2 linked regions of the Oryzias latipes genome follow. The protein of the gene in region 1 interacts with the protein of each later gene in a biochemical or structural test. Links are inferred from orthologs where the notes say so. Each region holds a gene or a part of one and is shown in the gene's direction. Other genes may lie near its edges.

Region 1 (3,823 bases):
CTGCAGGATGCCGCCGCAGCACGAGCTGGACCACCACAAGCTGCTGATGTGAGTACGTAGCGGTACAGGAATCGAACCTTTTGATGTTGCGTTTGTGTGTCAGACGCCACAATGACCCGCCCAATGATGAAACCTAGAGGTCAAACTCAAAGGAACCCTTGTTTAAAATATTAACTAGCAGCACATCTGAAGACTTTCTCCTTTTGAGTGAAAACGTTAGTTCGCTTTAGCCCGTTCCTGTAATACTAATGTAGATTTTCAAAATAAAAGACAAAAACGTCAAACGTTTCTACGTTCAGCTTATGTTTAGTTTACATCCAAAGTTGTGGGAAAACATTTTTCTAAATGAAAAAACAAATCTGGTTTTTGAAGGAATTCAGAAAAATCTATCGATATTTAAAAAAAGAAATCTGAATTGGTTCAGGAATTTGGGAGTAACGCCCCATCCTACAAACTTTTTTTCTTTTCCTCATGTAGTTTTGTTGCTCATTGCAATTGATCTTACTTTTACTTTGAAAGTCCCTCCAAAGAGAAGCCACTTTCAAAAGGTGAAAAAGACAAGAACTAGGAAGTGCCGACCTCCATTGTGAGAGCGTTTAGTTCCTCACAGCTTCGCCTGTCAGTGACGGTGTGTTTTCGTGCCGCAGGTACCTGAAAGCTACGCTGGACCAGTACGTGGAAAGCGACTACACTCTCATCTACTTCCACCACGGGCTGACCAGTCTGAACAAACCGTCCTTGGGCTGGCTCCGAGACGCCTACAAGGAGTTTGACAGGAAGTAGGTTCAAAGGCGCTCACGAAGCGAACCGGGGAACGACCGATGGGCTTTTTTTAGGGTCAATACTAACAGCCAATAACATCATTTTCCCTCGCAGTAGAAACTAAAATAATGGCGTCTAAACGCCAAACAACACAGACCTCATCGCTTGTAAAGGTGAATAAACTGGAAATAGCTAGTGGTCATCCCACTATGACCACATTTAGAGCTATTTTCAAAGCATTCCCAGTGATTAGGCCGTTTTTTTTTTTTTTTGAAGAAACAGACACGGGTCAATACAGAGGAAAATGCCTGGAACTGACGTCTATAGAGAGTTTGGAAGTGTTTAAAACCCCTTAAACTCAACCTCCAATGCTACCGATAAATAACAGAAAATGGTTGGCCAACAGCTGAGCCACCTTTTTCTCGTTTTGTAACGCAAAACCGGCTTTAGATTTGTGTTTGTTTGTTTTTTAACTTATATTTTATTCAAACCTTTTGCAACAGAGCATTATACACACACACACACACACACACACACACACACACTTGTCTCCATGGTTTCCACGATAAACAACCTAAATACAGTGAGAGCAATCAAACAAGGTACACACAGGAAGTTGAATTGCCATAATACCTGAAATCTAAACATGCCAGCATTTGACTAGCTAGAGGTATTATTAGGAGGTTTTTACCAGTGTCATGTTTAGTTTCAGACAGCTTTGGTACTTTTTATGGTTTAATTTCAAAACCCTTACAGTTTAAAAGATTTTTTATTGGTCAACTGTAAATCAAGTCTTTAGTGCATGCTAGTGTTCGGGCGTGTTCAGTGGGATCAGCTGAGCCGAACACGCCACTGACTCGCCTCAAAGAGGCGTGACGACGTCTGAAAGAATGCTAAGATTGTCTCTCAACCATGCAGTTGACAAAAGATGGCTGACAGTGATGCACAGCTAAAAGTGGAGATACACAAAGTTTTACCGAACCCTACGGCAAACCAATAGGGTTAAAATATTGATGGAATTGTATCCATCTAAGACTTTTGAGCAACTGTGACAATTGTAACTGTTGATGACTTTTTGGCCCTGTTGGCTTTCCATAAGGCCCCTTGCAGTATAGCGGGTTGCATATATGTGCTGGAACCACTGACTGTAGAAACGATGAACAGCTCAACCCCTCCCTTCTCGTTTACCTAAATGGGAAGCACCAGTGCTTCCTGATACGGGCGCCGCCATGTTGAAACCAGTTGAAAGTGATTGGTCAGAGTCGCTGAGTCATCGTATCTATGGGCAATGGCGACGTGGTTTCAACATAGCGGCGCCCATATGAGGAGGCATTGGTGAAGGATTTGGCCTGATTTCGCTAGAGCTGCAGGTGAGGCATTTTCTAAGTGTGACATCAAACCTACAGTTTAAGGCTGGAACCTCAGAGAGGTTCTGTAGGTACAAGACAACGCCTAATCAGTGAGAGCCTGTTGCCACTGACAGAATGTGTTCTTCCAGGTGCATTATAAGGTTTTGTTTCTATTGTGTTGAAGCTCTTGGATCAGGAACTAAACAAAGCTCAGCTGCACCTTTTCAGGATCCGTTTGGTCTGAACTCTAAAGGTTCTCCAGACCAACCCGCTGGTTGTTTTGGTTCCTGCAGACGAGTTTATTCGTCAACGTCAATGCAGTGAAGCTTCTGCGTGTTTCTCCACAGACTCCCGTGTACTCAGAACCTTCTCATGTCTGCAGGTACAAGAAGAACATCAAAGCGCTGTACATCGTCCATCCAACCCTGTTCATCAAGACTCTGCTGGTTCTCTTCAAGCCCATCATCAGGTTCCTTCCTCTTCTTGTTCCGTAAACAGAGACGCTGAGCTCTCTTGAATGTCTGGAGTCATAAAAGAGGTTCTTGATGCTTTAAAAAAAAATCCGGTTGTTCACCTGTGAAATGTTCTGATAAGGTCGGGTCAGGTGAACTCTGATAGGATCAAAGAATTAAAGAGCTTTTGAAATGAAGGAAGGCGTCGCCGTCAGGGATGCTCTGCTCCACCAATGATGGTTGAACGGTGGTTCCTTCTGTGGAGAACCTCGGGTGGAACCAGATCTGAGTGTTGGTTCTGGTTCTGTGGCGTAAACGAAGCCGCAGCAGGTGTTTGGTGAGGAGCATCAGCATTGACATCCTGATGGAAGTGACTTTTTAGGAGTGATTTGTGTGTTTGCGGCGCCCCCTGCTGGTCAAAACATTCACTCCTTGGAGGAGTTTCTTCTTTTTATAGACTCTAGTTCAGGAATTTTTATTAAAAATGAAGGTTATTACCTCTGAAAACACTAAACTACTGATGCTTTTGAAGGAAGCGTTTTGATTTGACTTTATAATTATATTATATTAATTATAACTAGTATTTATTTTCATGTTAACATTGAAAACGACTTGAGTTTTGCTGCCAAATTACCCAAAGTCATTCAGATTTCCTTCACATGTCCTTATAGTTTTGGAACAACTACTCATTTATTCTTTAAAAAGGTCAAACTTTCAAAATAAAGTTTGCAAATTTGACAGTAAAAACCAGAAAATAGGCCCTAAGTGAATTTAAATGTACTGTTTTATAACTTTCTCAATGCTCATAAATACATTTTTTTTGGGGGGGGGGCAGGAAATAAAGGGAGATTTGGGAACTTTATTTTGAAAGGGTTATTTTTGTTTTTCTCTTCCTGTTTTTAGCCTGAAGTTCGGCAGGAAGATCAACTACGTGAGTTACCTGAGCGAGCTGGAGGACGTGGTGAAGTGCGAGCAGCTGCTGATCCCCCAGCGAGTCCAAGAGTAAGCCCCGCCTCCAAACTAGACCCCGCTGTTGTCATGGCGACTCGCTTCCAAACCCCGCTTTGATGTTGTCTGACCTATCCAGGTACGACGACAAGCTGAGGGCCTCTGCCAAGCCGAGCTCACCGCCCCCCATGTCCCCTCCCCGTAGCCCCCCCCTGCCCAACCAGGTGTTCGGGGTGCCGCTGTCCCAGTAAGTCCCTTAAGCCATTCTGGACTGTGGGGGCCCCTCAGCCGCGTGTTTGAGCCTCTGCCCTT
Region 2 (4,262 bases), on another chromosome or scaffold:
CACTTTCCATGCTTTCTCCAGTTCTTCTCTGAGTCCCTGGTATTTCTCCAGTTTCTCATGTTCGTTCTTCCTGATGTTCCCATCGCTTGGCACTGCCACATCCACCACAACGGCTTTCCTCTGTTCTTTATCCACCACAATCTGTTAGTTAGTTTGCCATTACCATCCTGGATCTGGAAGTACCACAGGATCTTGGCTGTTCTTTTGTCTGATTTTGGTTTCCCAAATTCTAACTGTCAGTCATGAAGAAAACTCCAGTGCTGAATTTATATATACCGCAAATTTATCGTTATCGCGAAATCAAGCTGTGCAATATGCATACCGCAAAAGACGGCAAAAATTGCTATAAATGATTACCTTAAATGTGTTAAAACAAACTCATGGCAGCTTGAAATATTGAACAAATGAAATAAATCCCTTTATGCATTTAACCAATCAGAAGGACCCGTTTATATTGTTGATCAATCAGATGAGCCCTTTTATGTTTGATGTTTGCCTCCTACGTCGACAAGGGTCATTTGGAGTATAATTTTTAAACTGTTGCAGTGAAATGGAAATTATGTTTTTGGTTTTTTTGCTATTTGTTTATATACCGCAAATTATATCGTTATCGCAATATTAATTACCAATATCGCATATCGCGAGTTTTCCTCATATCATGCAGCCCTACCAAGGATCCAAAAAAAGTATTGTGAAATAGCCAGAAGTTAAAAAAAAGGTAACAAAAAACAAACACAAAACAAAGATTAAATGTCTGAAGTGATCTAAACTAATCAACATTTCATAAACAAAAGCATAAACAAAAATGTCATAAATGGAAATGTATTATATAAAATTAGGAATATATCCCTTCAAATAACAAAGCAGATGCATTCCTAAAAAACAAACTGACAGAGGGTCACCAGAAGACAACAACCAAATCTTTATTTTATTGTATTTTGGGTTGGTTGTTTTAATTTTTTGGGTAATATTTATTCATGCAAAAAGTTTTCAAAATTAGGTTTGTAGTTTGATCATCTACTTTTATGAATATGAACTCTTCCACACACACACTATTTGTGCCCTGGGACCGTCCTTTTCTTCACATCCGCCCCTGGTGTCTGCCAGTTATGGCTAGTTAAATGAACTGACGCAGGTTGTATACACTATTGCAGTAAACCGTGCGAATGTGTCGTATTTAGTTACTGAGTTGATTTATTGCATTGTATTTTTTTTTTTTTTTTTTTTGTCGTATCTGTAGCACTGTGATAACACGCTGCCTAAGGTTATGTAGCTTAGTTAGTGTAGCTGAAAAGCTATCTGACATTAGTTCCGTCCGCAGCAGAGAGTTGCATTGTGACTTGGAGGAAGGAAGGAAACGGAGAAAAGTTGGTTCGCTGCGTACAACTCACTGCCTTTCGTGAAGAAGGTAGCACAGTTTTGGACTCTCATATTCACACCGTGACGCATTTAGGAACGGTGACTAAAGCTTGGTACCCTCTGTGATATTTCACAATGTTGAGTTTGTTAGATATGTCGTCGCTTATTATAGCTAGGTGTTAGCAACAGGACTTTTTCGGTTAGCTGCGCCGTAGACGAGAGCTCAGCTAGCCAAAAAGCTACAAACTTGGGAGGAAGTCGCGTAAATTCTGGTCTAGCTTGTTAATGATTGAGGAACCGGGCTGATTGGGGGTTTCAAACACTCAGTCAACCTGACCAAGTACTAGTTTGGCCAGATATTTACCTCATGGCATCGGAAGTGATAGAAGGTGAAGCGGTGTTGACGGGTTTGACTGATATTAATTTGAACAATAGCAGCCCAGATGTAGTCACACCCAGCAGAAGTTCCGAAAACATGGACAATAGGGAGACGTCTAGCCCGTCATCTTCCGGAGTGTCGGGAGATGACGAGGATTTAAACGAGTTACAGACAAGTGCAGCCTCTGTTGTTGAAAATGACAAAGAGTCGGGAGAAAGTCCAACCAAAACAAAAGAAGTGTCGCAGAAACGGACGGGTAATGTGCAGATACAGCCGGCAGGAAGGATGGTCTCTACCCCAGTAACCCTTCACCAGTCACCGTTAACTCCTGAACCCACTGGAAGGTCTGTATTTTTCCTGTTTGGGGTATGTAGTTGCCAACTTTGGGTCGAGTTTACACTATTTCTGAACTTACTAACTGACTTGCTTTTTGTGTGTCAGCTGCTGATAATATTCAACTAACTTTTTTTGTTTTTACCTAAGTTCATCATCAGTTACTTCAAGTCAAAAAAGAGAAACGCATTAAGATTCCTCACAAAAACACACAGTATACTCTACAACTGAAGGCAATAACCAGAATACAGAACAAACCTTTATGACTTCTTTGCTTTTCAAACTTAGTTGCTCCAATGCTGTGGCTTTGACAGTCATTAGGGATGCAACGCTTCATTTAAACAATGATTTGATTCATAGCATAATTTGTCGTTACTGATATGATTAATAGTTTATATTGGTTCATTTTGAAGAGACGATTCACTGACCTAATATCAATCCTTGACATCTTCATCTTCAGCCAAAATTTCCTCCAGTGTGACTCAGAGATGAATAGCTGGCTACTGAACAGTGCACATGCAGTTTTCCAGATTCCTTGTATTTCTTGCAAGATAATCAAGTGTAAATGCAATATGTGTACAAACAAACAAGTAAACTAGAATTAATGGCAAATCTATTCACATTTTAGTTTCCATAAGTGCCGCCCACCGTTTTTTTTTTCACATCAAAATAATCCAAAAGGGGAAAATTATTAGAGCATTCTACCACACTGTATGGCTTTACACGACTTTGTAAACGGAAAGTTTTTCCACACATTTGCAGCAAAGAAATGATGGCTTGATCATTTTTTGCCGCCATCACGTTTGTTGTACGCTGTGATGGACTTGGTCGCGTTTTTACTTTGTAGTTAAATAAACCTACCGTGTCTCAATCCAAAGGGTATTTTACTATATTAATAATCGATTTATTTCATTTTGAAACAATTATGGTATAGGTGATTTGCCTCAAATAGATCGATCTGCTTGGATATTACAATTCATTGATTAAGTCAATTATTGTTACACCTCTAACTATCATAGCTTCCCATAATTGAAATAAGATTTTTACAAAAACAAAAAGCTTTAGCAGAGACAAGAGCTTTAATTATTTGCTAAAAGGCTCCAACTTAATTTCTAGTTTTGTCCCTGGATGTAGAATTTTAGTGCAGAAAACAAAACAATTGTACCTTTTGCAGTGAAGCACCACTAAAATAACCATTTTAATTATAACATCAGAAATTAACGAGTAACATTTTAAAGATAAAGTAACTGTGAAGTAGATTGTTTTTTCACACTTATTTATCTTTGCTTTAATGGAATACTCTGAAAAATTCATGTCTTCAAAAGAATATTTAAAAGCATTTATCTATGTACTTTACTTGAGTCAGCTAAATCTGTATGTTAGCACTGCATGATCCATGTTTTCATTTTCTAAACATTTATTTTTTTCACGTTAGTATTTGTAATGATCCTAATGTGTTCCCACTCATTTTTGTGATTTGTGTGATTAAATTATGTTTGTTCATATGTATTTTTTCTATTGAAATGTGCTGCCTGTTGGCCAGGACTCCCTTGGAAAAGAGGTTTTTAATCTCTATGGAAATTTCCTGGTTAAATAAAAGTTAAATTAAAAATATTAAAAGGCCTGTGCCATTTGCATTAGTAAATTAAAAATAAGTTTGTTGCACACATGCAGAGATGAGCTATTCTGAGAGATCAGTGTGTCACCCAGTCACAGATACAATAGGCAGCTTTAGTTGTGGTTCATAAACTAATCTCTTAACTAAAGCTCACAGGTTTTCATGAATAAATAGAGCTGATTTTAAAGTAAACTACAAGCTTGAGCATCCGAGCTGATTTTGGAGACTGTAAATTTTATTGTGTTTAAAAAAAGTAATTGACAGAGTTTCTAAGTCTGACAAAATGTCATTAAACATTTTATCTTTGACTAATTTATTGTTATGGTCAGAAAACAAATGCTGCTGACAGAAAAAAAGAAAGCTTTCATTCATTTTTAACTTCTATTTTTCAATCTATTTATGATCTTTCATTCTGAGGAGTAGAATCAAGAGTTTAATGTATGTGATTTAGGGAGAATATTTACCTCATATTCTCTTAAATTGTTTAATTTAAAGTTAAAATAGTCAGAATTGCCTCTGATTGACATGATTTAAACATATGTCATTCGAGGGCTAGGTTGATGAAATCGATGA

Evidence for each region.
Region 2: the proteins of arhgap1 (region 1) and bnip2 form a complex in vitro, tested with the Homo sapiens proteins (2 studies listed by BioGRID). The link is inferred for Oryzias latipes from reciprocal best matches to the Homo sapiens genes ARHGAP1 and BNIP2.

What each region holds. Positions count from the first base shown.
Region 1 is NC_019860.2:878,369-882,191, forward strand, and holds part of arhgap1 (rho GTPase-activating protein 1), read left to right. Parts: coding exon 1-48; intron 49-647; coding exon 648-779; intron 780-2,493; coding exon 2,494-2,580; intron 2,581-3,466; coding exon 3,467-3,565; intron 3,566-3,650; coding exon 3,651-3,758; intron 3,759-3,823. UniProt on the Homo sapiens protein: GTPase activator for the Rho, Rac and Cdc42 proteins, converting them to the putatively inactive GDP-bound state. Cdc42 seems to be the preferred substrate.
Region 2 is NC_019864.2:17,098,654-17,102,915, reverse strand, and holds the start of bnip2 (BCL2/adenovirus E1B 19 kDa protein-interacting protein 2), read left to right. Parts: upstream 1-1,198; 5' UTR 1,199-1,726; coding exon 1,727-2,082; intron 2,083-4,262.